2 linked regions of the Oreochromis niloticus genome follow. The protein of the gene in region 2 purifies or fractionates together with the protein of the main gene of each other region. This does not show direct contact. Links are inferred from orthologs where the notes say so. Each region holds a gene or a part of one and is shown on either strand. Other genes may lie near its edges. The genes, in order: stat3 and ret.

What was found.
Region 1: the proteins of ret (region 2) and stat3 purify together in Homo sapiens (affinity purification with western blotting; 3 studies listed by BioGRID and IntAct, with this or other methods). This does not show direct contact. The link is inferred for Oreochromis niloticus from reciprocal best matches to the Homo sapiens genes RET and STAT3.

The regions. Positions count from the first base shown.
Region 1 is NC_031969.2:26,413,000-26,429,161, reverse strand, and holds the start of stat3 (signal transducer and activator of transcription 3), read right to left. Parts: upstream 10,423-16,162; 5' UTR 10,176-10,422; intron 7,726-10,175; 5' UTR 7,704-7,725; coding exon 7,576-7,703; intron 7,247-7,575; coding exon 7,003-7,246; intron 6,911-7,002; coding exon 6,818-6,910; intron 6,725-6,817; coding exon 6,643-6,724; intron 6,540-6,642; coding exon 6,439-6,539; intron 5,846-6,438; coding exon 5,694-5,845; intron 5,462-5,693; coding exon 5,303-5,461; intron 5,112-5,302; coding exon 5,019-5,111; intron 4,859-5,018; coding exon 4,799-4,858; intron 4,688-4,798; coding exon 4,658-4,687; intron 4,562-4,657; coding exon 4,468-4,561; intron 4,383-4,467; coding exon 4,335-4,382; intron 4,159-4,334; coding exon 4,075-4,158; intron 3,553-4,074; coding exon 3,454-3,552; intron 3,312-3,453; coding exon 3,176-3,311; intron 3,080-3,175; coding exon 3,027-3,079; intron 2,935-3,026; coding exon 2,840-2,934; intron 2,486-2,839; coding exon 2,346-2,485; intron 2,256-2,345; and 6 more. Other genes in the region: cavin1a (caveolae-associated protein 1), read right to left, coding at 12,817-13,581. UniProt on the Homo sapiens protein: Signal transducer and transcription activator that mediates cellular responses to interleukins, KITLG/SCF, LEP and other growth factors. Once activated, recruits coactivators, such as NCOA1 or MED1, to the promoter region of the target gene.
Region 2 is NC_031978.2:25,421,714-25,437,875, forward strand, and holds the start of ret (proto-oncogene tyrosine-protein kinase receptor Ret), read right to left. Parts: upstream 8,566-16,162; 5' UTR 8,551-8,565; coding exon 8,176-8,550; intron 1-8,175. Other genes in the region: si:dkey-192p21.6 (heparan-alpha-glucosaminide N-acetyltransferase), read right to left, coding at 12,035-12,216, 12,674-12,786, 13,857-13,927. UniProt on the Homo sapiens protein: Receptor tyrosine-protein kinase involved in numerous cellular mechanisms including cell proliferation, neuronal navigation, cell migration, and cell differentiation in response to glia cell line-derived growth family factors (GDNF, NRTN, ARTN, PSPN and GDF15).

The sequences.
Region 1 (16,162 bases), on a different chromosome or scaffold from region 2:
AAAAGAAAGTCCCCTTTTTTGTCTTTTTTCTCCCACCAAACTCACATGGCCTCTGCCTTGTCCACTTTATTATGGAATTGATTTTGAATGTTTTACTTTTTTATATTATTTGAATCACTTGTCACTCAAACTATTATGACATCTAATTCGGACCATTTAAGCCCTACAAAGCAATGTGGATGAGGAATGATGAAGAAATGCCTGCAGGAAACAAGAGTAGGGGGTGAAATAAGTGAAAGACTGATGAAAGGCAGGGAGCTACTTTTGTATTAGGAACAATGCCTGTATGTTGGACTCAAAATAGGAATTATGTAGGTGAAATTACTACCCATCAAACACACAAAGTGACAAAATGCACACACAGCCCTACATGCCAACTCCCCCCGAGTGGCCTACCCTGGGAATCCGTTCCCAAGCAGCTCACTGTCCGGCAAGTCCATGAAGACGGAGGGACACCTACGGAGACAGGTCAGGATCTCACTGAGCAAACCTCACCATCAAACCTACTAGCATACAAGGTGGATGACCTGTTTCTACATTCCCCTCGTGTCAGTCGACCTCACTCTATAAAACTCACCTGCAGCTAACGTCCCGCTCCTCTGCCTTTCTCATTTTGTGCTCATCTCAGACATTAAGGAAAGATTTGATAATTGTCAATAAATATTAATCGTGAATACTGAATATTCTAAAATGGGAATTCCATTCATGTTTTTTCTCTGCTAACTGGTAGAAGTAAAAATTTAGAAGTTTAAAATGCTGCTTTGTGCTTCCTTTTGTTCATCCTTAAGACTTTAATGTATATTTTGCGGTCTAAATATGGTCTAATGAACAGCAGTTTCAGTTGTGATTAGGGATGGGTATTGTTTAGATTTTGCCCCACTGTTATCAGTACAGTGGACACCCCTTTGAAGCGAACGCCCTAAACCCTAACCATTTGAGATTAATATTAATCAACAAATCTATGATTACAGTTAGCTGGGTTGTGGTTACTTTTTACAACTTCTCCATTATTCTATACTGAGTTATAATGAACTCTATATGTGAACTCTTTGCCGCTGATGTATTGGCATATCTGCTTTCTTGTACTTGCGGTAATGAGCACTTTCCATATCAATTCTAGTGAAAATGAACGCTTAAATTTCCCACCCCCATCACTAATACTCTATCTGTGGGTGTGTGTGCACAGTTCTGGGGCTGCCCCTGCCCTTCATTTATAGATTCCAAGGAAGAGAACTTTCTTCTCGCTAGGGACTACAATACATGATAATCTCTCCAGAGAGAAGAACTGACAACATTAAAGGTTATTGATACTTTACGCTCAGCACTGGTGCCCATTTAATACCATATTTTGGTACCCATCCCTATGTATGATAAGAGAAAAATCCATACTAAATATTTGGAAATGGCCAGTGAGTCAGATAATGGCGTACAGAAAGCGTGAGACATGGCTATTCACATGTTGAAAATGAAAATAAATTACTTTCACATGTGCTCAGTGAATACACAGCCAGATGGCCCATGTACAAAGTCAGTCTAAGCCAGTTCCTTTCAGAATCTACACACACCTGGGTTCACAACCCTTTTTCTGAACATTATGATTATTCCTTCCTCCTTAAAACCTCTATGTTGTTTTTTTCCCTGAACATTTGGTAACATTTGCCACATGAAACAGTCTGAAGTTTGTATCTTAATCAGGATCACTCAGTCTTCACAAAAGAAAACATTAACAGGAAGCACTAAGAACTAATATAAGTGGTGGTCACTGTTTGGCATGCGGCCATCCTGTAAATATTATCACTCTGAGATACAGAAGAAGGGAGTGGAAGATACTTACGGGGTAACGCAGATAAACTTTGTCTTCAAATAAGGCTGAATAGCTGTTAGGGGAAAAAAATTGGAGAACATAATGAGCACTATGAAAAACAAAACAAATGAAAAAAAACACTCTCAATGTTGTTATAAACATACTGAGCAATATGTTTGACTTTCTTTTTAACTAAATAAAGACTTTGAAGAACAAGGCAGTAACTTACTGCTCGTTGAGTCTCCTCCCATCTCGGCTTCAGGAGCTGCTTCTGGCCTGCAGTATTTCCCAAAGGCTTCCTCTTTGGGAATATCAGGATATAGGTAGACAAGAGGTGAAACCAGGATGTTGGTGGCATCCATAATCTTGTAGCCCATGATGATGTCAGCAAACGACATGCTGTTGAGCTGCTGCTTGGTGTAAGGCTCCACTGACTGGATCTGGGTCTTTCCTATATAAACACAAGAAAGTTCAGCATCACAGCAAAAAGAGAACATGAAAAAATGACCATGAAAACAGCATGAAGTTCTGAAATACTCACCACTGATGTCTTTCTCTACCCATGTAAAGGTGATGCCCCCCTCCTTGCTGCTCTCGCTGAAGCGCAGCAGAAAAGTACCGGGAGGTTTTGGACTCAGAATAGCCCTCTCCCTCTCCTTACTGATAAAACCCATGATATACCTGTAGACATATGAAGAAATGAAAATACTCTTAACCCTGTAACACCAAGTGTGTCATATTTAAAACAAGACTTTTTCAGATTTCTTTTTGTCAGAAAAACCTTTATTGCACAAAAAAAAAAGTTATATTAAAAAAAGAGATACCAATTAAAACATGTATGCACTAATTTATAATTAATATTTTTGTTTAAATGTGTCATAAGGTTAAATTACACACTTCTGTATCAAACATTTTGAATTTTCTGATAATTATTTCACGGTTCAGGCTTAACAGCTTACAGAAAGTCTTCTCCATGTCAAAAAATGTTCTAATATGAAAGGAAGGCTTGACTGTAAACAAAGCATGACCTCTCACCCTTCATTCCACAGTGCAAGAATGTACTTTTTCACCAGGTCAATAATGTTGTCAAGCCACACCCAGAAGGAGAAGCCTTTGCCTGCCATGTTTTCCTGTGAAGTGGAAGAAAAAAATTAACTCATACAAAACAATAAAGTATCACTAACAATAACGCTGAACAATTTAGTGCCATTTGTTGTAGTACCTTACAGAACTTGGCCCAGGTGATTTGGCATCCAGAGTAGTTGACACATGGTCCTATATAGATAATTAAGGATTTAAATCAGATCAGATTAATATAAAGCATTGTGAAAAACTAAACAGTCTTGGATATTTTAGGGCTTGTCATCTAACCTAGTAATTTCTCAGCCAATGTGGTGAGCTGTTCAATGGTCAGGCCTCGCTTGGTGGTGGAAGAGAACTGCCAGCTCAACACCTCAGCCACCTGGTCCCATGTCCCCACTGGAGGTTTGGTGAAGAAGTTCACGTTCTGTGCAAAGAACCCCCAAGGCAAAATGTTTTGAAAATATACACATTTTCTACTTTCTACTCAAGCAGATCTTCAACTCTATTGAGTTAAGATCCACCTCATGCAGAGTTTAGTCCCTTTCCACCAGAGGGTGCTGTCTTACCTTTGGGTGGTTAGTGAGCATGTTGTACCACAGGATTGAAGCCCAGGCATTTGGCATCTGGCAGATGTTTGATATAACTACCACAGGCAGGGAATGGGTCTGCAAAAACATGGTGTGTGTAACAAAAAAAACAACACCCATCATTCAAATGTTATTTATACATTATGTTGTTTCTCATATATTTTCTCACATTTTCATTAAAAAAAAAAAAAAAAAAAAAAAAAAAAGACTTGAAAGTTAATTTTAAATTAGAATTAACGCATTGTTAAAGTATCTGCAAATTCAAATAATATGATTCTCTAAGAAATCAAAATCAGCGCAAACTTTCAGTGCCAGTGACCCTGCCATTAACTGTGGGCAGGTCAGAAAAAGGGCAAACAGAAGAAATTTTGTGTTTTCAGAATCAGTCCCTGTAGAAGCTGGGTTGATGAAGGTGACTGGAGGCGGACGACTTCATAAATGACTAACTTGTCTGGTGACTGACTTTGTATTGGGTGTCATATAACAAAACTGCATTATGGTTCGGGAGTGTTTCGAATTTTGTTGATTATTAGTGTTGCTTGGGTTAATAGTGAAAGTAGAAATATGTTCCATTTCATGAAACACAGTGGCAGTACTCACCTCCAGATCTATCTTCAGGCCCTGGTGATAGACCTCTGTTTCAAATGTGATAAGATGCAGTTCCTCAGTGACAATCAGAGAGGCCTAGAAAACAAAAAACAACCTACTTAAATTTCTTTATAAAACTATATGTATACAAGATAAAGAGGACTGTTAATTACAGATAAAGCAGAATTTTTCACATGCTAAATACAGCTAAGATTCTGAAACGAGCAGTTTGTTCACTACATTACACAAGTCCAACAAGAAGTAGGACTTACATCGCTATTGGTCCGTCCACCATTACCACACCTTTGTTCTCGCAGGGTCTGCAACAAACAGGAAGTCAGTGCTCCACAGAAGGCCTTTATCAGATTACTTCATAGCTTTCAACCGGTAAGACGTTTGACTCACCAAGTGTTTAAACTCTGCTGACAGGCTACCATTGTTGGACTCCTCCATGTTCATAACTTTTGTGTTAGTACCGAGGATGTTAAACTTTCGTGATCTGATAAAATCATAGTAGAGCACGAAGTAAGAACCTTTTCTAAAATACTACACATTAAATGCTCTGAGGTTTGAAAGTTTGTTCTCAAAGTCTTACCCTCGAATTGCAGCCACATCACCAGATTCCCTGAAAAATAGAGATGCAATGAGTAAAGCAGTAAATTTGTTTTGTCTTTCTATCCTAGTGGTCAAAACTTAACAGAAATGTTGGATGATAAAAATATATAAATAAACTCACTTATCAATGCAAACTTTAATTTTCAGCTGGTAATTGAGCTCAGGAAACTTTACCAGTAACCTTTAAAAATTTGAGAAAAGAGACAAGACAGAACAAATTCATTCACTTATTAAAATGACTGTTACACTTCCCGTTATACAGGACACAAAAAATGTTTCAATAAAATGTATAATCCCAAGTGTAAAAATGTACAATCTGGTGTTGTAATCCTGAATCTCACCTGACTTTATTTGTGAACTGCACGCCTGTTTTGATAACCAGAGGTCTGTCCGGATGCATGGGCATGCAAGGCTGTCTTTCAACCACAAAAGCACTATGACGCAGAAAAGCATCACATCAATACATGATGAGCAGTGTTAAAGGTATAAGTCCCCTAAGCAGTAATTTTACATTTTTCTGAAATTTCACATTTACAATATAAAAACTGTGAGAGACTATGGACTTAAATCCATGCAGATCGAGTTAAGACAAAAATCTGTATAAGTAGATAAACATCAAATGTACCTCTTCATTAGGTTTCTGAACAAGTCCACAATTTTCTCCTCAAGTGCGGGCCGGTGCTGAATGATGGGGTCTCCTTTGTAGGACACCTTCTGTTGAAGCTCTTCCAGCTTCTTGATTTGCTGACGAATTTGGAGCTGGGACTCAGCCAAGGACGTAATCCTGATTAAAATAATAATACAAAGTGCAAATCAGACACATGTCTATATGAAGGGAGTAAGAAGAGCAGAGACCAAAGTCCACAGTCACTTGGCCAGAATCATTCATTTATGATGCGAAACCTACTGTGAACATATCTAATAATAAACAGTCAATGATTAATCTCTGTACCAGTTTCCAATTTTAAGTCTTTTTTTATTAAAAAAAAAAGGGGTAAGTTCTCAGAACTGTTTACCAAGTTTCAAGGCGATCGAGACAGATGTTTGGAGGGCCTCCAATACAAGCAATCTGCTGTCTCCTCTTCCAGTCAGCCAGTTCTTCATCTGTCAGATTCTTCTGTACGTAGTCCATGGCAGTCAGCAAGCCTCCCATCTCCGTAACAATTTGCTATAACAAAGCAAACACAGCACACATTAAACATTGGCATAAAGAGCTATAATCCATCTGTGGTCCAAACTTTGTACCACTGTTAAAGATTCAAACAATGACTGTGTTAATATTCAGGTTTAAGACTAAGATTATTCTTTACTATCATTCAGCTAAACATTTAGATGTTTATCAATCTTGCATTTATCATTTTTTAGCCAAATTTCTATTTTCACCATTGATGAATGTAACTAGCAGGAGTTGCTTGTGCAGTACACTGCTGTCTAGCAAAATTTAATGGTCAACATATGTGCAGCATGCAAAACTAATGGACATTTGGTTTCACAGACGCAATGCCACATCTATCGCTTTTTGTGCTAGCTAGCAAACTTAAACTGGGTGTGCCAGCGTAAGTCCAAAGGTGTTGTTTCATTTCGATCTAATTACTTCCTAAAATGCCTCTTTATACATTTTTGCACGCCCTGAAATGTACAGATACAAAGGTTTACATTTATAAGGCATTATAATGTGTTTTGAATATCCTTGTTTTCTAGATGTTACCTAAAGCACTTGATATAATACATGCTTAAAATCAATAAAGTTTAAAAACCCACCCTCCTGAGCTGATCCAGGGCGCTCAGCATCTGCTCGAGCTGGGCCATCTTCTGCCTCGTTGCAGCTGCCTGGCTATTTCCATTTAGATCCTGGGACAACTCTGGAAAGAAGGTGAACAGGTCACCATTAAATTAACTTTTAGCTGTTAATACACGCAGCACAGCTAAGAAAATTACATTAAAAATATAGTAAGATAATTATACCTCCTTGGCTTTTTAGGGTCTTGTAATTGAAATCAAAGTCATCTTGCAAGTTTTCAAGCATTTTCATCTTCTGTTCCATATCCTGTGGAGAAATGGGTGATAACGTATATACATTTATGCCAAGAAAGACCAATTACGTAAATATACAGTAAGTGACTCTTTAATGGGAACTAACCTGCACCCGCTTCCTGATGTCTTGAAGATTGTGCTCCAGTATCTGCTGCTTCTCTGTCACTACTGTTCCAGTGGGATGGGCTGCCTGGCCATCCTGCAAGAGGATAAAAGATATACTACGTAGAGCCATTGTACTAACTTTATACATCATAAAGTCTGAAGCTAGGTCAATATTGCTGTATCAACCTGTGTAGCAGAGGTGGCAGTCTGCAGCAGCCTCTGTTCTTCCCACAAACAGCGAGCAACAATGCGAGCAATATCCATCGGTTTCTCCAAGTACTTGCTCTGCAGATGCTGTTTAATCCTGCGTAGGTTATGCTGGTAGAGCACATTGTTCTCCTGCAGGAAACGGCTGTACTGCTGATCTATTTCTCCCAAGAGGTTGTGGAACACCAGTGTAGCATGTGACTCCTTATTGGCAGCGTAAGCCCTTGTAAACGACAGGTAAAGTGATCAGTATGTGCTCATTTCTCATTTTTCCTCATACATTAAGGTCAAAATCATCCCCATTTGCCACAAAAATGAGTACTCGGGTTAACAAGCACACTGACACATTGTATCAGAGTACTCTGATTCCTGTGGTGGTGTTATAAGGAAAGAAGAGGGTGATAATGAATAAATTAAAAAAAAAAAATGTTAAAGCCAAAAAACATTTTGGAAGTCATAATGAGTGGCCATCTCCAAATCCAAAGGGAGAGAAAATTACATGAATTAAAATGTAATTTCACAACAGAGCCTAGAAATGTAATTATTTCTTACCAGTCTTGACTCTCAATCCAAGGCGCAAGAAACTGTCGTAACTCCATGGGGAAGCTGTCACTGTACAAGTGGTAGAGTTGCTCCAGGTACCTGGTCTCCAGCTGCTGTAACTGGTTCCACTGGGCCATCTTGACACTCACCTCCTTTGGCCTACATAAAAAATATGAGTGAGACAACATAAATTCTGCAAAAATTCTATAAAAATACAAACTGATAATACATACTGCCACAGTTCCTGATAGAATCAGTAAAACTAACTGTAGGGAAATAGCTAAATATCAAGTTTTCTCTGAAAACGATGACAAGCCCATGAGAGGCTTCCTATTCAGTACAGTCACTTCCTGTTCACTGAAACACTACGCCTCCACCAAGAAATTTAGGCCAACATGAACAGCTGTCGACTCCCTGAGCAGACAGGAGTTAATGATCTTTGGTGGTAACTTTGCCTCGAAGGTATCTCACTGCACTTTCTGTACTTTGCAATTTGAGTAATAGTCTTTCATTTATTTTCAATCACTTGATATCAGATATAACTCTTATCTAGGTTATGTAACTATAACTTTTCCATCAGATCCACTTGAGATGTTCTGCTAGCCTTCTCATGTTTTCACCTAAAGGGTACACCATTCCCTGAAGAATTTTCTACTGTACACTAACAATAACCAGACATTCAATAAATCCAAAAGGAAGCCATTTCCTTTGTTTAATCCTTACATAACATGTTGGATAGTGTTGCAGTAACATCCTTCCACTGAATGTGTATACTGTGTTCTCTAATACACTTAAAGTTCAACTTAAAATATAGGCAGAGACGTTTAACAAAGCTTTCATGCTTGGTATCTGCTGACACAGAAATGTACTTGACAAAAAACAAAACTTCACTTTCTGTTTCCAAATGTAAAGATTTTCTTCTGCTGACAGAAAGCATACCACTGAAATAGTGCTGTTCATATCTGAATAGGTTAAAACACGGGACCTGAATTTCCATCTGTCTAGGTATTAGCATTATTCAAATCAACGCTATGTAGGCTCCATATTCATACACATGGAGGTGAGTGCAAAGTAACATAATGCCTTCTCAAAAGCATCATTTTAAAACACCAACAGAAAGTGGATTTTCCAACATTCACTGAAATCAGTGTTCAAGGCAAGCCACTAGTTTCGGTAAAAAACCCCAAAAAACAAAACCACTAATACCCTCACTAATATTGCGTGGCTATTTTAAGCAGTGAAGCCACATAACTAACTGTCCCATATCCCATAGACCCATGTTCCTCTTTCTACAACATATGAAAAAGATGCATTCATGCATGGTGTAGATTTCTGGGCATGTAAAAGACCTGGGAGAATCAAATCAAAGAATAGCCAAGTCATTATCAGCTCAATTAAAAAACAAAACAGTATTTCAAGTGTTCTCCATGACCCTTAGGCACAGTTGTACGTTTATTGTGTAAGCTACTTATCCCGTTTCTCCTGAAATGGCTGGACTATTCTGACACTTACTAAGCCCTTCTGTGAGATCTCTGCAGAATTATACGTGTACTGTTACAGAAATAGTTGTGTTGTATTTTTAATCAAGAGTAACTTTAGAACAGCAGCTTGTTTATGTCAGATGAAAGGAATCCATAAAGTCTAAACAACCCATCTGTTGGTTGCATAACTTAGAAATTTTGCTTAGGTCTCACACATTTTGTGTTCCTTTTCTTTTCACACCTCTATCAATGTCTGAGCTTTAAAAACTAAATCTAAAGCTCTCAAATTAAAATCCACAACTCAGAATTAGTTATCATAAATAAACCTGTCTACCCAGCTTGTCCACTGCCCTATGCTCGGAAGTAGGTGGCACAAACGGTAAAGCAAAGTGCCATTCATTAAAACTCATACCTATGATATTCAAGGAAGCACTTCCTTGAGACAACAACGAGAAACAGTAAGCATGTCAACCTTCACTGGCAGTGGATGAAAACAATAGTACAACTACATGTGTTATTAGGCAAAAATAAATAAATAAAATACTGATTGATTATGATGTGCGTCCATATTCAAAACTCTCCAAAAGTTAATAATCTGCTAACTCACTGTCCCCAATTAAAGCCTAATTTATTGAATGCAAGCCTTGAATCATAAGGCTAGGTAGTGGGTGTGCTGTCCAACTGATGGCATGGTGATGGGCGTGACAGCTTAAAGAAAACAGAAAGGACTGAACTGAATTTTCCTCGGTCCAAAGGGGCATCCCGTTAAAGCCCACCTTCCCTTTTTAAAGCATATCAGATGTACTGCCATTATTAAACGAGGCGTTAGAGAGTAGACGAGTAAAATAGAGCACACAAACACAAAAACTCTTAAATATTACGTCTGTAATATACATTTTACAAGAAACGAGCAGAACTGTAACACACTTAAAAACGTTATTACCACTTTAATAAATGATGTATCACTGTGAGCAGAGGGGGTTTCTCCAACGTGAATAACTAAGAACCTATAAAGTACTGCAAGTGTACCCCAGCAGCGTTATCGATATTAGAAGTAGACGTGCATTAACATTACGTTAAAAATAAAGAATTTACACCAAAAGCAGAAGTCGATTTATATTTGCTTACCTGGCTCGATGCCACTTATTTAGAAAGTTTCTCCGCCAAAACAGTAACCCTTCTCATAAAACACACTGACGATAACGGTCAGTGGCAACTTTCGTAAAGATTTTACCCACAAAAACGACGGAAAGCGCTCGAAAAAACCCCGTAAGTCTTTATATTCTCTTCCCAACACGAGAAACGCTTCTTCGTCGCAAGTACGGATCTATCAGTCAACCCATCCCCTACATTGCAGACTTTCCAGCCAGCCAAACTCCTTAAACTATTTTACTGACATTTCCAGCCGCCAATAGTGGTCTGCAACTCTGCTGTCGCCAATCACAATGCAGCTTATAAGCAAAGAAGGCGGGACACTAGCTTGAGGTTGGTTGAGGAGGTCCGCTGTACCGCTGTCGCAACTGCGCTGTTCTGCTCTGAACACCCTCCCCCCGGGTAAGCCACAGAGTAGACGTTTAAGCTGGGTAGCACCGGAGGGGGGACAAACATTTTCACGGAACAGCCAGCCTAGAAGTCATCTGAATTACCGGCAGTGCCGACGTCATCGAGAGTTTAATAACACTAGAGCGCTTCATTATTTACCTTTAGTCATAATTCGACCCTCTGGTCACGGTAGGTGAAGGAACACAAATAAACTTATGAACTGACAAACAAGACAACATTATCAGCCAGGTTCGTAAGAATGATGCCAGGCACTACATATTATTTAGTAAGGCGTTTATTTATATTGAATTTGTTAGGCATAAAAAGCCTTAAACACAACATAATCAGTCAAGCGTCATTATTTGAATATAAATCAGTAACACCAAGAGTAATATTATGTCACATAAGGTTGCAGGAGTGTTGAAGCTCATTTTCTGAATAACCAGCAGCTTAAAACAAGACAAAATAAACAGGGTGACAAAAACACACATTTCTTCTAAAGGAACCAGCGAGTATTATGGATAAAGTAAAGGTTGTCTTTGCCAAAAAAAATTACAAAAAATAACATAAAATAAACAAAAGGCTAATGCTATGAAACTAACATGCCCATGTGATTTTACAGGCCCACAGCTGATTTCTTTATTGTTTTGTGTGATTTCAGCTTCATGCTTGGGTACGTGACATGCGCATACTGTCACCATTTATTAGTCTCTCCCTCCCTCACATAGACACGCAGACACATATCCCCTTTGTCTTTCTCAATGTTCTCTGGTTTGTGCAGTTCTCTGACCGAGCACTCTCCTTAATTGTATTTCCCCGCCCATTGATTACTTTAATGGTGGTCGATGCTACACAGTAGGCCTCTGTGTGTGTGTCTGCACCACATCAAGGTCATTCAAGTCTCCAGGGAGGCAAAATGGAAGACATACATTCACCTTGTTTTTGTCTGGAGAGCGATATGCTCGGCCTTACAAAATCAGAAGACTGACTGCGCATTGCCATACCAGTTTACATTCATTACTGCTTGGCTGTTTTCTCCATCATATGCCAACCAAATTGTATAATTTACGACCAGATTTTCATAGTTTTTTGCTTTGGATGTTCCTGTAATAGTTCAGCTTCTCCATATTACATACAGCAGTCATTAAACTGTCATCTCACATCTCTTTAGACCATCTTTTTTTCTGTCTGTAATTACTTTGAGAAATTTTAATGGGCATGAAAATGTACTGTGATGAGCTGTGACCATGGCGATACTATCTTTTTTTCCTCCCCTTTGTGCAGCAGTGCAATATGTGCAGCTTAGTGAGAACGTGTTCAGACACGCCAAACGTTGTATCCTCATTAAACACTGTTTATACTATAGCAAAAGTTACATTCCGAATCTTATTAACGTTTTCATTCAGTTTTTCCTTTTTTAATTTGAATGAAAGCTGAAAATTGAGCTGAAAATTTTACTGCCCCACATACACAACAGTATATTTTGCTTTTTAGTGTGGTGTTATGCATTTAAACATTGTGATAGTTGAATTTGTCACAGGTTCATGGTTCCTAGTATATATTAATAGAAATTGCACATCTATTTCCAGCCATTCACACTTAAGTGCTTAACAATGAGAAACACTGTATTGTAACATTTGGGAAAATGTTTGTAATCTTACGAAATATGGAGCACAGTTTAGTTAAACGCCTTAGTGTAAGTCCAGTGCAACAGATCTTTTCTTCACTTGTTAATTCTTCTGTAGAAGAATCCGTCTACAACTTTTACATTTATTTTTCTTTACACATTCACATCACTTCACCCGTCCATTACAACAAAAACCTTGCCAAAAACTTCATTTTCCCATATTTGTTAAGGCGAATGCCACACTAAATATTGTCTCTTAATCACAATATTTTTTTTTGTTTTTCTTTTAGCCACACAATTAATCAAACCAACAACAAACAACAAATACTCTAATTTCTAAGTGTAGCATATCCAGTCAGCCTGTAACATAATTCCGGGTTTGTCTTTTTTTCCATTATTTGAGTGCTAAATATGAACAAATATGAAAGTTATCCCTGTTGGGAAGAATACAAAGAGAACAGAAAACAAATAAGATGTCATAGATTGTAATCATCTATAAAGTCCCTACTGTGTCTTTGTGATTATATTCATTCGTCAATATTCTGTTTCCTTCTTCATCTTTATATAATTGCTTTCACAGCCCTGTGGAGCTATGAGACTCTATTCACTTTGGGCTTTCTTTAGGTGGTCTGTATCCACCCTGACCAGGTCAGAGTCTTCAGTCACCTCCAACAGAGTATCCATTTCAGGGCTGTCTACACTGACAAGCTCCCCTTCCTCCACCTCCACGTGCACACCCATCCCGTTCTCCTCTCCCTCTGGCTGAACCTCGGCCTCGCTCACTTCCACCATCTCCGTGTTCAGCACCACCTCCTCCTCCCCTTCCCGGATCTTCTTAACATGGAAGGTAAAAGGGGGAACGCGGTACACGGAGGTCTTGGAACGAGCATACATCTTGTGGTCAGGGGTGAGTGACTTCTTCATCTTCTCTTTGGAACTCTTTATCTTTGCCCTGCGCTCCTGGTTGGGGGTCATGCGGGTCCCGAGCTTGCCGATCTTCTTCTCAAGACTGTGCTTGGTTTTCTCCAGGTTGTCACGGGTTCTCTGTCTTGTCTTCTCCAAGTTTTCACGGGTTCTCTGCTTGGTCTTCTCCAAGTTTTCCTTGGTTTTTAGTTTGGTCTTCTCAATTTTCTCTTTGGAGAAGGCTTTCTTTATGTTATCGACTTGCTCTTTTGTGGTGCGTTGGAGGCGCCTTGTACGAGTCTCTATGAGCTCCTCTTCAATCACCACCTCTTCATCTGAATTAAGATTGTCTCGGAGTCCCTCCTGTCCCTCTTCAGGGATTTGCTCAAGACCCTCCGCTGTTTTACTTTCTACTGCCTCTGCTGTCTTGGATTTGGATGCCTTTGGTGGCTTCACTTGGTCCTAAGGGACAAAATAGGAAGGATAAGAAAGAGAGAAGAGCATTAAGCCACCATAGCAGAGTGAGCGAGACTGAGTTAAACAAGCTTTTCAACCACTTTTACAAAAATTTCAGTGGACATGATGTTTCAATAATTGCATTATATGATTAATGTAAAAATAGCATGTGTTTCAATATGTTTTCAAATGTACCACCTATACAAAATTAAGCTAATGGGCTTAAGGTGTGCATTGGAATTGCAAATATCAGCCTGAAACTCTGCAGAGTCATGCATCATCAAGTAGTCAGTGTAAACATGTCACTGTTTGCAGCTGGTGTGGAGTGCCATCTAGTGGTGTCACTTATATGCTGATTATTGTGCAAACAAAATGGTTTTAAATTTTCAGTTATGAAAAATAAAAGAATGTAGCCTGGCATATTTACAGTAATTATTATATGGTATGTCTTTAAACTCTAGTAAAACTATGGGACTTGAAAGGAACCGTATATTATCTGCAACTTTAGTCATAATGAAACTGAAGCTCACAATTTGTTCATCTAACCACAGGTTTATTTCCTGCCACTTACATATCATTTCTATATAAAAGTCTGAACCCACTTTTGAAGAATTAATCTTCAGTTAAATCTCTCAGTAGACAATTTCAACTTGTGTTTGGTCGGGAAAAGTGTTGATAATAAAATGCAGAATAGAGACTGGTGGTTAAATTTCACTGGAAATACTTAGTGGTTAGAATAGTTTCGGTTTAGCACATAATGCAAAGTGCAGCAGTTTCAGAGATGGACAGAAATTGCTGTATAGGTAAGGCCAGAAGGAGGACCATTGTATTTGTTCTATGCAAAGCTACACAGGAAGGTATCACCCTGTCAAACCACTTGGATGTGCATCTATTTGAATACCCTCCTACAAGTTACAAAAAAACAAAAACAAAACCTTAAATCAAAGCATTATGAGAAGGTTTTCTGTTTTTTTTTAAAATTTTTAATTTTACACCTGTCAACAAAGTAGACCACATTTCCATGTTGTTTGGCAGGACACTGTCAGTGTCATTCCAGATATCCACAAAGGGAGGAGCAGTACTATGATAGAAATGTGATTCCCCCAACTGTCAGTTACTGATAGAGGGATCAGTCGTCCCACCCTGCTGAACCACACCTCAGTGCACCATCACTATAGTCACTGACTTTGTAGATACACATTAAAAAAATCAGTTATTCATGAGACAAACATAGATATTTAGGAATATTTAGGATGTTCACAGTCTGACATCTAGGGTTCAAATAACAATGAGTGTTTACATCTGAAGTTAATTTAAGAGGCATAAAAGGCCTCATATCTGTTTTGTCCAATATCAGTCCGCTAAAGAGCCACAATCAGACAAGTAATTATCCAGCAGAACACGGACTCACATGAAACAGATACAGCGCTGCTCGCATGTAGCAAAGGTTTGTTTATCTTCTCCACTATGAGGGACGACACATCTTTATTTGAAAATTGTAAAAAGAAACATTTCAATAAGGTGGGAATAATTTGTCAGTCACTGTTATTACAAGCTGCTATAATTACAATGCATAAACTTAAATGCGAATACTGCCTAGGCAGTAGTTGCCCTTTTATGCTTTAAATGACAATTTAGGTAACTTGATGGTGGAGTAAATAGCATTTCAGTCATTTCACAGCAAGAATACTCATTGTTCTTTCTTGCTTTTTGCATGTTCTCCCTGTACCTGTGGGGGTTTCCTTAGTTATGTTAGGATGCCTGGGTCGTTGACCCAGAGGTTTTGAGTTCATTATATTATTTATCATTTCTAGTCTTTGGTTTCTTTGTTAGAGTTATGTCTTATGGTTTTTGTCTCTGTGTTTTCTAGTTGCTGTCTCCCTGTGTCCAGTCAGTCTGTGTCTGTAGTTCAGTCTGTGTTATGTTTCCTGTTTTATTTTGAAGGTCCACGTCTGATGTTAATGTGTCTGGTTTTGCTTCCCCTGTTTCGTTAGGCCTGATTTGCCCCAGCTGTGTTTCCCTCCTGTCTCCCATTTCCTGATTGTTCCCTCTGTGTATTTAAGCCCTGTGTTCTCTTTGGTCTGTGTCGCGATCTACTCTTATCTACCCTCACTCATGCTGTGTGTTTTGGTTTCTGGCCTGTGTTAATGTTTGTACTTTGGAAGTTTGTTACTTTGAGTTCAGCATTAAAGCTGTTTTTTTAAGTTCACGTCTGTCTCCGGAGTCTGCACTTTGGGTCCTTTTCCTGCCTGCACACAGCCGTCACATAACAAGTTAATACTAAACTGATTCTAAACTGACTGCTGATGTGATCTAGATAAAGTGCTTGAAGTACATAAGACAAATGCTGCATAAATGTGACATCTAAAGTACATTGAGGGGTCAGTAAGACTTTAAAAGCTGAAGTACACTGCATTAGCATTAGCTACCAGCATAAACCACCATTCTGAAATAACACATTACAAACACAGGTGCTTTTTTTCTTGTGTGGCCCTAAATTGTATTTTGGTTCCTTTACTTGTCACATGGTCATCAAAATTTAAGAAAGTTATAGTTTTTTGATAATTAATAGTTTCCTACTGTAATA
Region 2 (16,162 bases):
TGAGCATCAGGGCTTCAACTGTATACCCAAAACAACCATTAGAGGGAGCTGTTATCACAGTGACACGGGCTCCAAAAGCAGCTTAATCATTATCATAATATATTACTGCTCTAATCTCTCTACTGCTTGGATAAGATGTTAAATGATTGGACTCATTTCTATTTGACAGGTCAGAAAAGACTCCCACTACTCTCTACAATCCCTCATCGGATGCATACAGACAATTTAATTAATCTACAGAAAACTTACGCACGACGGCCACAAATTGAATACAGCAGATGACAGCAGCTCTGCAAATAAAGCTACATGGTCCAACGTGTTAACCAGCGGGAGCTGAACACATTTATGAAGGCAGGCATTGGCTGCAAGCCACAGTGGCCGGACCCCCTGCAACACAATTCGTTTATATCATTCAAAATTCAATTTCTTTCTAGGACAGAAGCCAACAGAAAGCAAGCAGTTTATATCAAAACTAATTAATAGAATGCATCAAGCAGGCCCATCCGAGCAAATGGCATCTTTGGTCTGTGAAGCCATGATGATGCTTTTCCAAGGCATGACTCATTACCTTCCCTAAATGATGCACAAGAATGGCAGAAATACAGCTGGTGGTGACATTTTCACCTATTATATTCATGTCTAAATAATGACCGAAAAGATTAAAAAGACGTTGCAGAGGCTTCATTTCCATGTTTCGCGTCTGGACCGCTAAAGAACGTTCTTTCCGGAATTTAGTGGGCTGTTTTGGAACAGCCTTGGCCTGTTATTGCTCACAGTGTGTAAACATTAGCATCATAAGCAGATGTTTTACAGCCTTCGATCACCTATAAAACTCATGCCGAGCTCCTGCATACAGTGTCATTCCTTTGAAAGTAATTTTGCAAACAGAGAGTGTTTGAACAGGACAATTCATGTAGCAATCCATGTTTACAGTAGATATCATGTACCGCCGAGTGGATAGTGAAACTGATTTTATCCAACGCTGAAAAACAGGAACACGAAACAGTGGAAAACCCTCTTACGTCTCTATAAACGTATGGGCTTCCTGGTTGTCGTTTACGATCGCAGTCTCCATGAGTTAATTGTGCCTGGGTGCGTGTGTGTGTGTTTGTTTTGTCTCGTATTATAACTGCAAAAGAACAAAAAGGACAAAAGCTCATCACAAAATCTGAAATCACGCTCCCCGTCAGCCACAGACCACAGCATGTCTGGGACAGGTCTGAGCTGATAGGGTGGGACGCCCTCCATCGTCCCAGACAAAGACAGGAACTCAATTAGCTCAATGCGTGCTTCGCCTGATAGATTTACCAGCTATGAGCTCATGTGCTAGAGTAACCCACTGGCTTACTAATCTACCTCAAAGTCTCATTGAAAAATATGTGGATCTCCCACTCAGACGTCCTCACTGAGCATCCTTGTCAGCAGCGTGGCAGATGAGGAAACGTGACCCTGCCCGGCTGCTGCTGTGTGATAACTTGACATTATAATTGCGTTCTTAGTCTGGACCTCCAACAGTAAGAGCTCAGCTTCGTGCCCCTTTTTCTCCCAAGGTCAATGTGGTCTGCGTCTGCCCCTGGTAACGACCCATTGGAAAGGCAGTGTATCTGGCAGCATATCAATCAATAACCACACTAATCAACAGTGATGCTGATTGTTTTCCACTGATGACACAGACAGAGAGAAAAGCTGCACAAGTGCAATCACGTCCGCCGAACATAATATTGGAGTTGCTTAGGCATCTTGTGCGTGGACACTGAAATATTACTTCTACTGTGCAAGTGTAATTTCACAGCCTGCTCCACAATTTAGCCCATCAATATCCACATTTTCAAGGAATCCATCATCTTTTACAAAGAAGCTGTAGCCAGGCACATTAAGGAGCAGTTCACCCAGTTATATCACGGTGATATAAATAATAATCACTCGGAAACCTATCATGATTGCTCTGCTTCCAGAGATGTGACTGCTACTGGAATGGTTTTCTTCAGAGATTCAATTAGCTAAAAAGCTGCACATTCAACTATAATTCCACTTATGAAAGCTAATATTGATCATAATGTTTTGAAATCTTTCCCCCTCCTCTATTTCCTGTCCCTATTATGCTCAAATGCTTCATCATATCACACTGGTTTCAGAACCTGGATTTAATATAGGCATGACTCTGATGTTTTTCGATCTTTCAAAACAACACGTGTAATAAGGAAAGAAAGTCATTTCCTGCCATAATGACCCAGTCATCAAAGTTTTCATCCGATTAATAAGATAGCTGATCTGAGTTTGGAAAAGGCAGCCGGGCTCCAGGTAGATTACTCAGTTTACCATGATGCATACCGTAACATGATAATCAATTACCACATAATGTAATCCAATTATTCCCCAGAGAATACAAGAGCTGAGATCCAATGAACCATGTTCATCAGTCATCAAGAAATCTAATAGGACCTCTCCTTAGGGGTTAGCTGCAAGTACAAATTCAGTTTAAGGATTTCTCTGGGGATGACTGTGGCATCAAAAATTGAACACGTGGTACATCATGGAGCTCCAGACTGAGTTTGATGAAACAGTCATTAGGCTGCTTTGATAAAATCATCTACCCTCACCACAGCAGTGGTAAAAAGCCATCAGATTTACTGACATGTACACAGAAGGAGGCAAATACTCTAAATGCCTGTGGCAAAACACAGAGAGCTTATTTATATTTGCATAAATAGCTCACAGCCACAGGTTTCATAAAGGGTTTAGCCTAAAGTACCAGATTTAGGAAAGAATTGCTTTACAGCCTTTTATTGCACTACACCAAGCAGTCTAGACTCATGCTACCAGCTCTGTGAGACTGTATTTATCAGTCAGGTCTGTGGCATCTACATTTAGCATTACTCTGTACTCTGAATGCTAACATCAGTAACGCTGCATCATGGTGACAATGCCAGTATTTGTATTGTAACATCTTCTAATCAGCCGCACAGCAAGAAGGTCCTGAGTTCAATTCCAACATCAGGCCGGGGTCTTTCTGTGTGGAGTTTGCATGTTCTCCCCGTGTTTGCGTGGGTTCCCTCCGGGTACTCCGGCTTCCTCCCACCGTCCAAAGACATGCAGCTTGTGGGGATAGGTTAATTGGATAATCCAAATTGCCACTAGGTGTGAATGTGAGTGTGAATGGTTGTCTGTCCCTGTGTGTTGGCCCTGCGACAGACTGGCGACCTGTCCAGGGTGTACCCCGCCTCTCGCCCTATGACAGCTGGGATAGGCTCCAGCACCCCCCGCGACCCTGAAAAGGATAAGCGGAAGCGAATGGATGGATGGATGGATGGACATCTTCTAATCAGCGCTAAATACGGTCTGAGATTGATGAAAATGTCATTAGTTGTGCAGTTACTGGACAAATTAAAATCTTGACCTAATTATTGTGCTCAATAAAGCAAACCAAAAAAATAATAATCATGGGATCATTAAGATCATCGGGATTCATTTTCTCGGAGCTATGAATGTCTGTACACATTTCCAAGGCGATCTATCAAATTATTGTTAGATTATTTTAGTCGGGTGCAAAATGAGCAGGCAAAAAACAACAGAACAACACTGCAGTGAGAGAAAAACTAACAAGGCTGAACACAGTCACGTGTATCACTTACACATACTGTGCATTGGAAGCATCAACAGTCTTGTTGTTTCAAGGAAGCAAACACAGTAAAAGTGCATTAATTTATAAGATGTCCTAATTGTGGGAATCATCAATGCACCAGCGTCATTAAATGGCACTGCTAAGATGAGTCGCCACTATTCGCACTGCTAGACTCTGACTGCTTGTTACAACTGTCCTAACATGAGTGAATCTGGTGGATTGCAGTATGGGAACAAGGGGAGAGTCGCTGCTTTATGCCAGGGAGTAGAGATCGCTGAACTACCAGCACAAAGGGAAGTGGAGCTTTCAGAGTTTCTGGCATTGGCAGGTGGTTGCAGAGGACGGAAAAAAGATTTCCAGCATGTTTACCCATTTCAGTAAAAAGAAGGACCAAACAAATGGATGCCAAAGTGGAGCTGGAAGAGGATGGGGGGAAAACAGCAACATAAGTATGAATCAGCAGCATTTATGGAAAATGTTAATTTAAGGACATTTTCCACTATTATGGTTTGCTCTCTTTAGAGAGATTGCAGTAAATGTGCAAATTTGACTCTGGCACCAGTATGGCAGTAGAGTCACTCCCATTGATTTCTGCAGTGTCACACAGACCATGTGGACTCAGATAAGCAGGGCCTGTACTTTGTTTTACTTATTGTTGTAATGACGGGTCAAACACGATGTGCACTGCTGCACGACTGGAAAACAACTTGTCAAGACCCATGTGAAACCAGAGGACTAAATGCCCCGAGGGTAAAATTTCAATCAATGTCTCCTTGTCCTTTCACCACAGCAAATTAGATTCTACCCATGCATGAGAGCGAAGTGTGACCCTGAACTGACTAGAGGATCAGACACAGGGGTTTGACAGGTAGGAGCGGCATCCGTGCGACGGCAGAAATGGCAGCCCAGGATTAGAGGTCGGGACTCTCAGGAGTCTCAAGGCAGTAGTAGCGATTTGGGTGACAGTTATTTCAAAAACCGCAGGTCCACTTTGGCTGGGAAGCTCGAAGGATGAGAGTTTTGTGACTCATGAAGTGGGAAAATCGGGAGCTTTAGGCTTCTTTGTCTTTTCTACTAAAGTGCTGCAGCTGTTCCAACAGGTATCAGAGCGTCTGTGGCTGACAGCATGTTTACTGTCGCTCATGAGCTTAAAAAAGAGGGAACACGCCAGCTAGCTCTGGTTTTAAATCACAATAATGTAGTCTGTTGTATGCCACATTTTGAACTTTTTGCTATAGCCAGCTTTAAGAATCACAATATTTTTTTTCTAAGATGCAAAAAAGAAAAGCACTCCTGTTGATGTAGCTCAGTAAAAAAGATCTAATCTACTTGCATTATGATATTTCCCACTCACACTCAAATAAACACAGTGACAACAAGCGTGGAAAATTGACAATATTTATCATGCATCCATGAGGAACACAAGACAGAAGCTTTACTTAATTATATCATGCTGTAAGGGGCTAAATCCAATAGCACCACGTATCAAATGAGATCTGTTGGTCTGGTACTTCTCCAGAGGAAAAGATGCTGATGAAAATGATCGCTTTGAGTTAAAGAGAAGAAGGAGCACTATACCACTATGTTATGGTTTCACCGGTCAGAGGGCGAGGAAGGGTCAGAGATACCGTAACAAGGTCACGGTGGAAACAAAACAGATCAATGCTTTTACGTGAAAACATCTGTGGCACTTTTTTGTGTAAGAGATTACACAAATGTGTGTGTTAAAAAGGGGGAGTGGATTTTGGCTTTGACCAGGTTTCGTCACAAAATGTATTTTCACCTCCAAACACTTTGTTTATAAAGCTGCCAGCTGATACTGAAGGCCTAATCTAATTAATAAAGGGTTGTTTCAGTAAGCTCTCCAGATTTCCTCAAAATGTAAATAAAAACAAAGTCACGACGAGCCGGATATAACTTTCTTTGGCCTTTTTTCTAAACAACTGCTTAAAATGTTCACACAGAAGTGCATGTGACTGCACGATCCCTGACAACGTACGCACAGAGACAGAAGAGCAGCTGCAGCCTTAGTGGCAGCTAATGGGAATCCTCATAAAGAACAATGAATAGAGGCGTCCCAGCTCCCAGTTCACTCCAGCTTATGTCTTGAACTACTTTACTTTGGTCTTAAGTGCAGGGCAATGTCTCAGGAACATTTAAAAATGCTGATTGCTACAAAAGTGAGCACTGATTGCCAATTTCCTTTGTTTGATGATCTCAGCGAGAAACACTAAACTAATCAGTAAACTGGAACCTGGAGCAGGAGTTATATAAACCCCACCGGGAAATTCCTTTGTAATAGCCATTCATGACTGTGCCATTCGTACAACTAAATTGAAGATCAGAAAAACTAAAGTTAAACTAAATTGACAAATGCATATGTATATTTATGTGGAACTTCATGAGTAGACGATCATGGGAAGGAAAGACCTCCTATGGCATCCAGTGGCGCATTTAGTTAGTCTTTGTCTGGCTAGCAGAACAGTGTGCAGGGTAGGACATATTGTCCGTATTGAAGATAAATTTTGGCAATATCTTCCTCTGCAATGAGGGAGACTTATGAGTTTGAACTCCCAAAAATATCTAAATCATGGTATCACATACAATAAAAGGAAAAGGGCCTCAGCAGGACAGAGAGTTTCATTTTATCCCAGTTATTTGCCCTCCTCATTTCCACCATCCCTCATATAATATACAGGAAAGATAGGAGTCCTGGATCTTTTCAAGGCCACTGCTAACTCCTTTCTCAATGCTAAGCTGGAGATGGATCAGTTCACACCAGACCACAAAACCGTCTACCACCTTCTGGTAAAACTGCAGAGAGCTTACCAAAGTAGTACCACTGAAATTTAAAGCATAAATATTCTTTAGATTCAATCAGTGACTCAAACAGCAATAAAAATCCACATTAGACGTAATGTGATGCAAAAAGTGCATCACAACATGATTCATTTACTTGGAAAATGACTCATATGTAAAAACCATTTAGTGATTTAAGATGTTTTAAAGGAGTCACAACAGGCAGAACATCCTCACAAAGTGGGGTAAAATAAAAACAATCATCGATCTGGTAAAATCCGACTATGTCACTTTGTGGCAAGCCCGGCAGCAGCCCAAGCGGCCCGTCCGCTTGCATAACATGCGATATTTTCCTGAAGAAAACAAACAGCCAGTGTTTGCCCAGAGATAGGAGCAGCTGCTGCACACCTGCCCATGGCTCGCCTCTTCTCCTCCCTGAACAAGTGTAGGTCTTTTGTTGCAACAAACAGGCAGGTGATGGGCGCCACATTCACGTAGGGTGCAGCTTTCAGCACCCATTTAATTACCAACACGTCCTTGACACATGAAGTGCAACGACACCAGCCCTTTTCTTCTATAAATATCAGGAGAAACGCCTGCTTTGGTGACTGTGCAAGCAGAGCCCAGCAGGAAAAGCCATGTGGATGCATGTAAGGTCTGTAAGAACAGCATGCGCGTGACTGACTGTGTGTGGACTATGGACTGATTAAACAGTGTGTGTAACAGTGAAAAAATAATCAGAGGACACTGCATAAAAGTGTTCTACCTTAACAGTTGCATTAATCTTTTTAACTACTCTGCAGAAAACTGCTCCCCTGGGTGATTAAGTAGGCCTGTAGTTTATTGCAGGAAAGAAACAGCAGTGCTCCATTCACGTAGAAACGAACATCTTTTTATACATCCCAGATACACTCAAAGACTTTGATCATAATGCTTGTTTGCCTCCCTATATACAAGCACTGATAGTAACCTCTGAAGTCCAAAAAAACCGTATTTGTTCGAGCATTACATCTGACATACTGGCGGCACAGTCCTGACCTATGAGGGACACTTTAAATATAGACTTCATGAGAGGGCAGTGTTAGTGCAGTTGGGCTGTGGGATTGTGGACGGGATTATAATATTATGATATATGGCTGCATTCATTCTACTCTTCGTTTCATTGTTGTCATGCCACGCATAGCCAGCGCACAATGCAAGGATCACTTTTCTGCTGTGTGGCACAGTGCTGGCGTTGTGTTCGTGCCCTTTCAGATACTTCGTAGGGGGAAAAAAGGCCTTAAAAATCACTCAGCTTCCAAAACGCTGCAATTTAGCTTTTCACTTGAGCAGCCCTGTGTATTTGTCAGTTGCAATCTAGACTTCATGTTCACTGGCTCGCTCTGTGGCAGCACCTATTTCTCTTCACCTTGGCCAGCTTTGCAGATACTAAATATAATTTTTAAATAAACATATTTTAATTCCTTCTGCGCTAAACGGTCTCTCCGGCAGAAAGGTCAGTAAGAGATGGAGATAAAAACTCAAAGACTAAAGCTAATGCTGTCTGAATAATTTATAATACTAAGGATGAACGCGTTTAAAATAAGAAGCGAACATTAAATCGTCTCCTCTGGATTAATAGTTAAGACCAGAGCATTTATTTTGTTTTCAAAAACGTTCGAACACACTAGTGCAACATTTAGCATTAGTTTGCAACTTCATCGTGCGCTCCTTCGCCCTTTTCCAGTGACAGGAGAACTGATGATGAACCTTACCTTCCAGCACCAGCAGCAGAAACAGCGCAACGATGTTTCCCCGAGAGAAACCACAACTTGACCCCATATTCGCGAACCATAGGTGAAAGTTTCTGAATGAAAAGACGATCCAAAAAAGTTCCTCTGGGCGAAAATTAAATAATAATAATAATAATAATAACAAGAACAATAATCAAACCGATAAAATATACAAAGATGGGGGTATAAACCAGTGCGCGCTCTGCGTCCAGATGAAGTCCTCAGTGTCCCATAGACGGGCTGCTGTGTTGAGGCTACAGAGGCTGCTGCTGGGCTGACTGGCTGGTCTGGTGGGGGGAGGAGGTTCACTGCTTCACTACTCACTGCCCCGCTGCTTCCGCAGAAGCAGGGCGGCATAGCATCTACAGGAAATTTAAGAGCATAATTTAACAGCAGGTCAGTCATCTCATTAAGGCTCTGCGCGGGGGAGGTGGAGGGGCGTAATTATTAACAATTATGACTGGGCGCGTAATGGTTCACTTTAAAGGCACAGGCGCTCTTTAAAGGTGGGCATCAGGTGTGCTCGTTTTAATAACCGCTTCATTATAACAGCCGTGTGATAATTGTAAATGTGGCTTTTTGTTTAATTTTGCTAAGCTTGAAGTAGCTTCGATGAATTCGTTTGTTTAATTCGGTTGAATAAAAGGAGACTTTGAGCACAATGTTCCAGTTGGTGGCAAGAATTAAGTGAAACTCCTGCCAATGAAGTGACAGGGCTAAGTTGTTGTTGTTGGGTTTTTTTTTGCCTAGACATTTTATTGCATCCAAGTACTCCATGTGGATAATTAACACTCCCCAGCTGAGTAGAAGTCCTCTGCAGTCTTTGGGTTAAAGTCCCAGAATGAAATCAGGGGGTTAAATGATGTGGGACCTTTCCTCTCTCAGGTCTGAGTGTGTGTGTATGTCAGAAGCTGAGGGTGTGTTAAAGAGCGGGATCTCTGTGTGACTGAACAGTGTGGAGATAGCGTGGAGTGATGCATTGCTGCAGCCTCGGGCCAGGACACCAGTCACTCTCTCAGCAGTGTCTTTCCAATCAATGTCTCTGCATGGAGCAAAAACACTGAGGCTCACTGGGCTACAGAAGATAAAGGGGGCTTTCTCAGAAGCTTCACTAACTTTCACCAACTGGGATAAAATATAATAGCTGCTACTTACAGTGCTTACATTTTCACCTCCCTCGAGCCGTCAGCCTCTTGGTATCAAGAAGACTTTAAAAACAATATGCCCTTAAATTAGTGATCACTGCGAGGTTAAAGGAGAAAATTAGCTGTGAAGCTGTAAAGAAAGAGATGACATTTTAACAAAGCTAGATAGGTTGTATGCTTCTGTACCTTTGAGCAGTTTTAATTCTTACATCTAGATGGCTCTGGACTCTGTTGTTAAAACCAACCACATCTACTTTAGTGGTCTTAGACATGTTTTAACTGTAAAAAGTAAAGTACTATTGTAAAAGTCTATCAACTTTAAGTATAACCTGTGAAATTGGTGTTATTGTTAATACTTTGTTTTGTAATCAAGCATATAGTTTGGGCTGGATCAGGTGACGTTGAATCCAACCACGCACTGAATGTTTCTTTTTCACTCACTATGTTTTTATACACCTCGCTGCACGTAATCATGAGTTATTATTCATCTCTGGCTCTCTTACATGGCACGTCTTTGTCTCGTCTTCCTCCACTCACCTCTATCTGGTCACAACAGACGCCTGCATCACCATGAACCTGGTTCTGCTGGAGGTTTCTTCCTGTTAGAGGGAAGTTTTTCCATCCTACTGTTTCCAAAGCGCTTGCTTAAAGGAGGTCATATGATTGTTGGGGTTTTCTCTGCATTATTGCAGGGTCTTTATCATGCAACATAAAGCACATTGAGGCAACTGTTATTGTGATTTGGCAATATATAAATAAAATAACATTGAATTGAATAACATGATAAGCAGTTTACTCAAATGTAATGCTACTTGGTGTACCAAGGGGCATTATGTGATATAAGAAGCCAAGAAGTCTGCCTGAGCACATTGTATTGTATCTGGGATAATGTTTCCATATGACAGACTATAGGTATCCTGAGACGTATGCTCAATGAGAATCAATAAAGAGAAGGAAATACGGTGGTGTGGACATGGCATCTGCAACCACATTGGTTTTGTATGTGCTTTAAGCAAGTTACAAAAATGCTCTGGGCTAAAAAGAAGGCAGCATAGATTCTTGTTTTGACTCTTTTGATCTTTATTAGCAGCAGCTTTTGATACGTAATAGGTTTTAACCTCCTCGTGATGTTACTCCGAATGAGTCAGCTAAATGCTTCTATTAAAACACAAAGCTTTCTCATGGCATGCAAAACACAAAAGATATCTTTAGACCTGTGTGGTGAGTGTATATCGATTTCATTTTCATCTCTCGACCAATCAGCAGTGCATTTCCATTGCTGGCACCATAGTTTGGAAAGCAATTAAGGATTTGAGTCTTGTTCAGGAAGGCTAGATGCACCTTCTGGGATTCAAATAACTTGTGCTCATAAGACAATTACCAAAAACCCCTACACCATATTACACAGTGTTATTACTGCTTCTGGAGAGTGTGTAATAGGATTTCACTCAGGAAGAGGAGCTTGATGCCGTTTCATTTCATTAACTAGATGGTCATTTCATGATGCACACCACCTGACCTGATGCTGAGGGACACTGACCTGAGTGCGTTCAATAATGGCACATATACATTATACATACAGATATAAATCATTCAACCTGCTTATCAGTCATGAGGAAATATTCTGATCTATTACTGAGAATGAACCCTGTTTCACTAAGTAAGAGGCTAGGAGTGTGAAATGTGCAAACTAGAACACATGTAAAGGGCTCGGGGTCTCTGAGAGGGGCTCGTCTGATGAAATGGATTTGTGTAATTTCCCTGATTTTTCTAATGAAATAAGTGCAAAAGGTGATGGCCCCATTAATGACACCCCTCTGTGTGCATCTTGACCCCAATTATAGTACTGTGACTTGGACAGCAGATGGTACACACAGAGACACACATGCACACAGGAGGAGTGGCCATGGCAACAGACTCATAATGGTTGTCCTGGTGTGTAGTGGAATCACTTGGCCTAATTTGTTAAGTACCACCTCAATATATTTAATTTAATCAGTCTATTCTGAGCATAAAACAAGTGTTATCAAACGAATCCTTAGCTGCCCACACTGACAGTTCTTTAGAAACAGGACAGTGCTTTAATGGGTTTCACCGATAAGCGTTTTCACATTTTTTACACTGCTCTGCTTCTTGCTTTTGATAAAAAACATGTGTCTGGTAAGTTTGCATCTATGAAAAGCAAACTAAACTAATTAAGCCTAGACCAGCAGGTCATTTTAAAAACTCTTTTAAACTCCCACAGATGCTCTAATACTCTATAATTTACAGAGAAGAGTGCTTTTAAAAAGAAAAACATAATAATTTTAGTAGCTCATATTATATTAGGTCAACATACATACACGTCATCCCTGAGCCAAAAGCCCAGGCTTCAGACTGCTCCTAATGTTTCTGAGCTTCTGATAGTTTTTCTCCATTATCAGGTCTGCATGATGTCAGAGAGACACACACAGCTCTGGCTGTGAGCACGGAAGCTCCGCCCACCAGCTGTCCACACCTACTATTTACAAAGAGCAGCCAATCAGGAGAAAGTTAAAGGAAGGATCAATTGAAGGGTTGTACTAAATTGCAGTATAACATAAATAAGGATTATAATATACTCTAGTAAAGTAAAATACAAAAAAGTTTAAAATTAGTTTTAGAGGCTGCCTTTAAATGAAAATATAAAATAATACAATCTACAGAAGTGGGATGGATTATATTTTGAGAAAGAATTTCTTCCTGTAGAGCAGGTAGGCGATGAGCAGCCACAGTGCAGTCCCCCACAGGCTTTGAAAGAGCCACTCCCAGTGGCTCTGCTGGAAGCGCATTTCCCAGCTGAAAGGGAAGTAGAAGCCCAGGAGAGAGTGGCCAACATACACAAAGATGGAGTTCATCCCTGTGGAAGAGGGGTGGAAAAAAGACAAGTTATTGAACAGGATTTATACAATTTAAAGGATTTTTCCCTGCTCTGCACATAACTTTAGCTGAATGACTAAAGTTATGTGCAAAAAGTAAAGGCTTTATTGCAGGGATGCTTTCCAAAAAGCTTTCCAAATGAGCTAATCAGTTGAAACTCTTCTCTGGGAGTCTGGCCAATAATGCAAAAAATTACTGGAAGAAAAGACTGAGGACCACAAGTCCAAAACCTAGACTACAATCCCTACAAAGGCTTTCAGGACATTTGTTATATTAGGAAAAATGTTTGTTTTTGCATGATCAGCTAATGAGCTGCCAAACACAATTGTCATTGTGGTCAATATTTTAAATAACGTTCCAGCGTTTGTGAGGTTTTTATTCCAACCAAAGCACAATCACCTTTATAAAGCAGCCTGTCAGTACAAGAATAAACATACCTGGGTATATGAATGGCTGTCCACCCCACCAGCCCTTGATATCGACGACAAAGAACATGCCTCCCAGCAGCAGGAAAGACAAACAGCCCATACACATGACATAGGACAACGACCTGAAGAAACAAACCATCGGCAACACTTTACAACAACAGCAACATTTTATTCGGCACATTTAGGCATCACTAAAATCTGGGCAGAATGGTGCGAAAAACAGTGTAAACACACTCAGTCCATCAATCTGCTGCAGATAAATAACACCCAGAGTCTGTCCTACAAACTGTGAGGCAGTTTGCTGGACTTGTCTATAGCATCAGCATATGGATCCTTGGCATGTGCCTCATGGAGCTGTGCCAGCTAACCACGTCTCTGTCTGTTCCTAAGTGCAAGAATGCACGATGAAATATTATCTCATGTAAAATGGCTCCTTTCTAGAGCCTCCCTGCATTTATTTTTTATTTCTTTATCTCAGCTGAAGTCGAGCCAAAAAGGACTCTTAGCTTGGAGTTAATTACTTCTAGACATCCCGGCAAGGACTTGTACCCAGGAGCTCAATAACCTGTGCATGATGAACTGCCTATAAAAGCCAGGTAGGTAATGGCAAGTGATGCCCCATGTGGAACATCATGAGGAATTTGCTTACACATCACAGATGAAATGGCGTTCTTCCTGCTACAACATTTGAATGCTTCACATCACATATAAAGGGAAATGTAGGAGTGGAAACAAACGCACGAGTCATAAAGTAACCGTGAGGTGGTAACTGTGTCACATTTCATGCAAAATCATTACAAACGTTTAGGAAAGTGCTGTGCCTTGTTTTTTTAAAAAGGCTTCTAATAGTTTGGGAGCAGTTAAGACTGTGTTGTGGTTATACAGTTACATTTCCCAGAGTCTGAGCTCTTTCCATCACACAGAGCTGGTAAAACGGTGAGTGAGTGCTTCTGGGGGAGGATGAAGCATTCTTTATTTCGCTGGCCGTAAGGAAGAGTGATCATGTTGGGAGGATGTATAACGGCAACACCTCACACTGCCAACAGCCCGGGTGATTATTTACAGCCGTAGCTGTCGTTAGAGGTAAGTAAACGCGTGTTTTAGCAGCCTTGATTTGTGTCTGTTGGAAATCCCATCCTTTCTTTTTTTGTGAGGAAAAGTGGCTGGATTTAGAGGGTCAGGAAGCACTTACCAAAGGTTTTTATTGACAGGTATAAATCCTCCGTCTCGCGTGCACTTAGAAAGGATGGCTGCAGAGATTCCCTGAGGGTGGAAATGAAACAGATTTCAAATCGATGGAGGGCGATAAAGCAATCTGTATTGGGCTGCTAAAACGTGAGGCAACAGTATCAAGCAGAGTCCAGCAGATCAACCGACAATCAGAGAGTTACGTGGACACGGTCCATTAACTTATACACACACACAAAACACTAGACAGGACTGCAAACACACCAAAACAATGAGCTGAAAGACATTCAAATGTGGGTTCGTCACTACAGTAAAACACCACCGAGAGGCATCTACAAAGTCCAACACACTGAGGCCCAACTGACTCCATGTTCATATTTACTCATGATGATCTGCTCAACTCTACATCAGTAAGCACTTTTATAGTCTTAACTATCCCCCACCCTCCCTGTATGATTTAGATACATGAAGAAAGATTTTGTGCTGCACAGAGAAACCCAGGACAGCGGATCAGGATCCAAACATGCTCGTTAGGTGGATATCCATCATGTGTATAGATGACAGAATCGATGGTGTGGAAATAGCCTAGCTGGGGCTGGATTGAGTCTCCAGGCTATCCAGGCAGCAGGATGTGGGATGGGGCTGGTATGTGGGGCAATCGCTCAATTTCAATCTCTCACTTCTGGAGCCTGATCGTTGGACTTTAATTAACAGGGGCTGCTGTTTATTATGAGGAAGATGCATGGCTGCCTGTGAATATCAGCCTGCCACAGAGATCACAAAACAATAAACCATGGCCTGATGTTTACTGTATCCACACTTTCTGGTTTTCCTGTGCTTAACGCCGACCCTCTTGTCGGGTGCGTGCAGTAATAAGTTTTCTCCTCCTCTGAGGAAACCTGCTAATGTTAAGAGCACATGTCTGAAACAAAAGGCAGCTCGGCTCTGCTTCCTGCCTCCCCCTTTGAGCCGAAATCTTATTAGAAAAGTCAATATCAAGAGCAGGCCAATCGCTAAAACTAATTTTGCTTTCTGTGTTGGTAAGACATACGACCAAAAATAGACTTAACCACTGAGATTAAAATAATCAAATCAAATATACACGTGCAGAAATGGTGAAACAAATATATGCTGCGCTGATTCTTTATTCCTGTGTCCGTTCCTAAAATCAATAGCGATGGTCTGCTCTCACTGCCAGCCGATGCAATGTGAGAAAATCTATTTTATTGCATTTTTCTATTTCAGCTAACCAGGATTTAAGCTACTCTGTTGATCCACATCTAAATACTGTAAGATCCAGAATATCTCACCTCCAACATCGTAATCTTGAGTAGCATCCGCAGCATCTATCAGCTGGTAAACAATGAGATACAGTGGAAAAAACATTAAAGCCTAATGTTTATTTATGACAGCATGAGCTACTTTGTCACTGTGCGCCGCTGGGAGAAGCTAAATGGATCTAATTTATGTCACCTCCCTCCAGCCACTCAACGCACAATGATAGTCAATAAGATTCAACACCTGGAGACATAATGGAGCTTTGTCCTTTAAGAAGTGAGGTTAACGACGTTAAATTCTCGCAACAGAATTTCAATTGATTCTCACATATACGAGCAGGACTCTGTCGCTGAGTTTCTTACACGGGAGACTTTTTTCCTCTTCCTACTGTCTTTTTGGAAAATACAGCCTGGATGGAAAAACGCTGCTGCTACAGACCTTTAAAACTTCACTGAGATATTGTTTTGGACATATTAGACTACAAAAATAAACAGATTTCACTTGAAAAACCTTATGACATAATAGTAAATAAAATAAACTATATCCTTAACACGAGAACCTTCAATGCTGTTTCAACTCATGTGTCAAATAAATAAATAAACGTCTTGCAGTCATACACATAACACTCTGAAGGAACCTGATACCCAAAGCTGGACAGAAAAGGCACCCAAATATACTGGAACTACATAACTTCAGACAAGTCTTTCCCTGCTTCTGTGTGTTTTTTCTTTCTCTGCACAGTTTTTCCGTCCTGCGCAGCTTGATTTCAAAGGCTGTGTGATGCAGCCAGCTCTTCCAGCTCTATCATCGCTCCAGGTCACAGGGCTGCCGGTTCAGGATGTCTGCCTCCACAGCACGCAGGCTCCTCCTAACCCCGTTTCACAAATGAGCTATATCTCTGGAGCATCACGCTGCACGTACATAAAAACAGTGGCAAGCACAGTTCAGCGGAGACTAGCCTTCCTACGTGTCTGTCTGTCAGTCTTGCTAGAGCAGACTAGCAGCCTCCTGTCACAGGTTTAGAAATGCAAA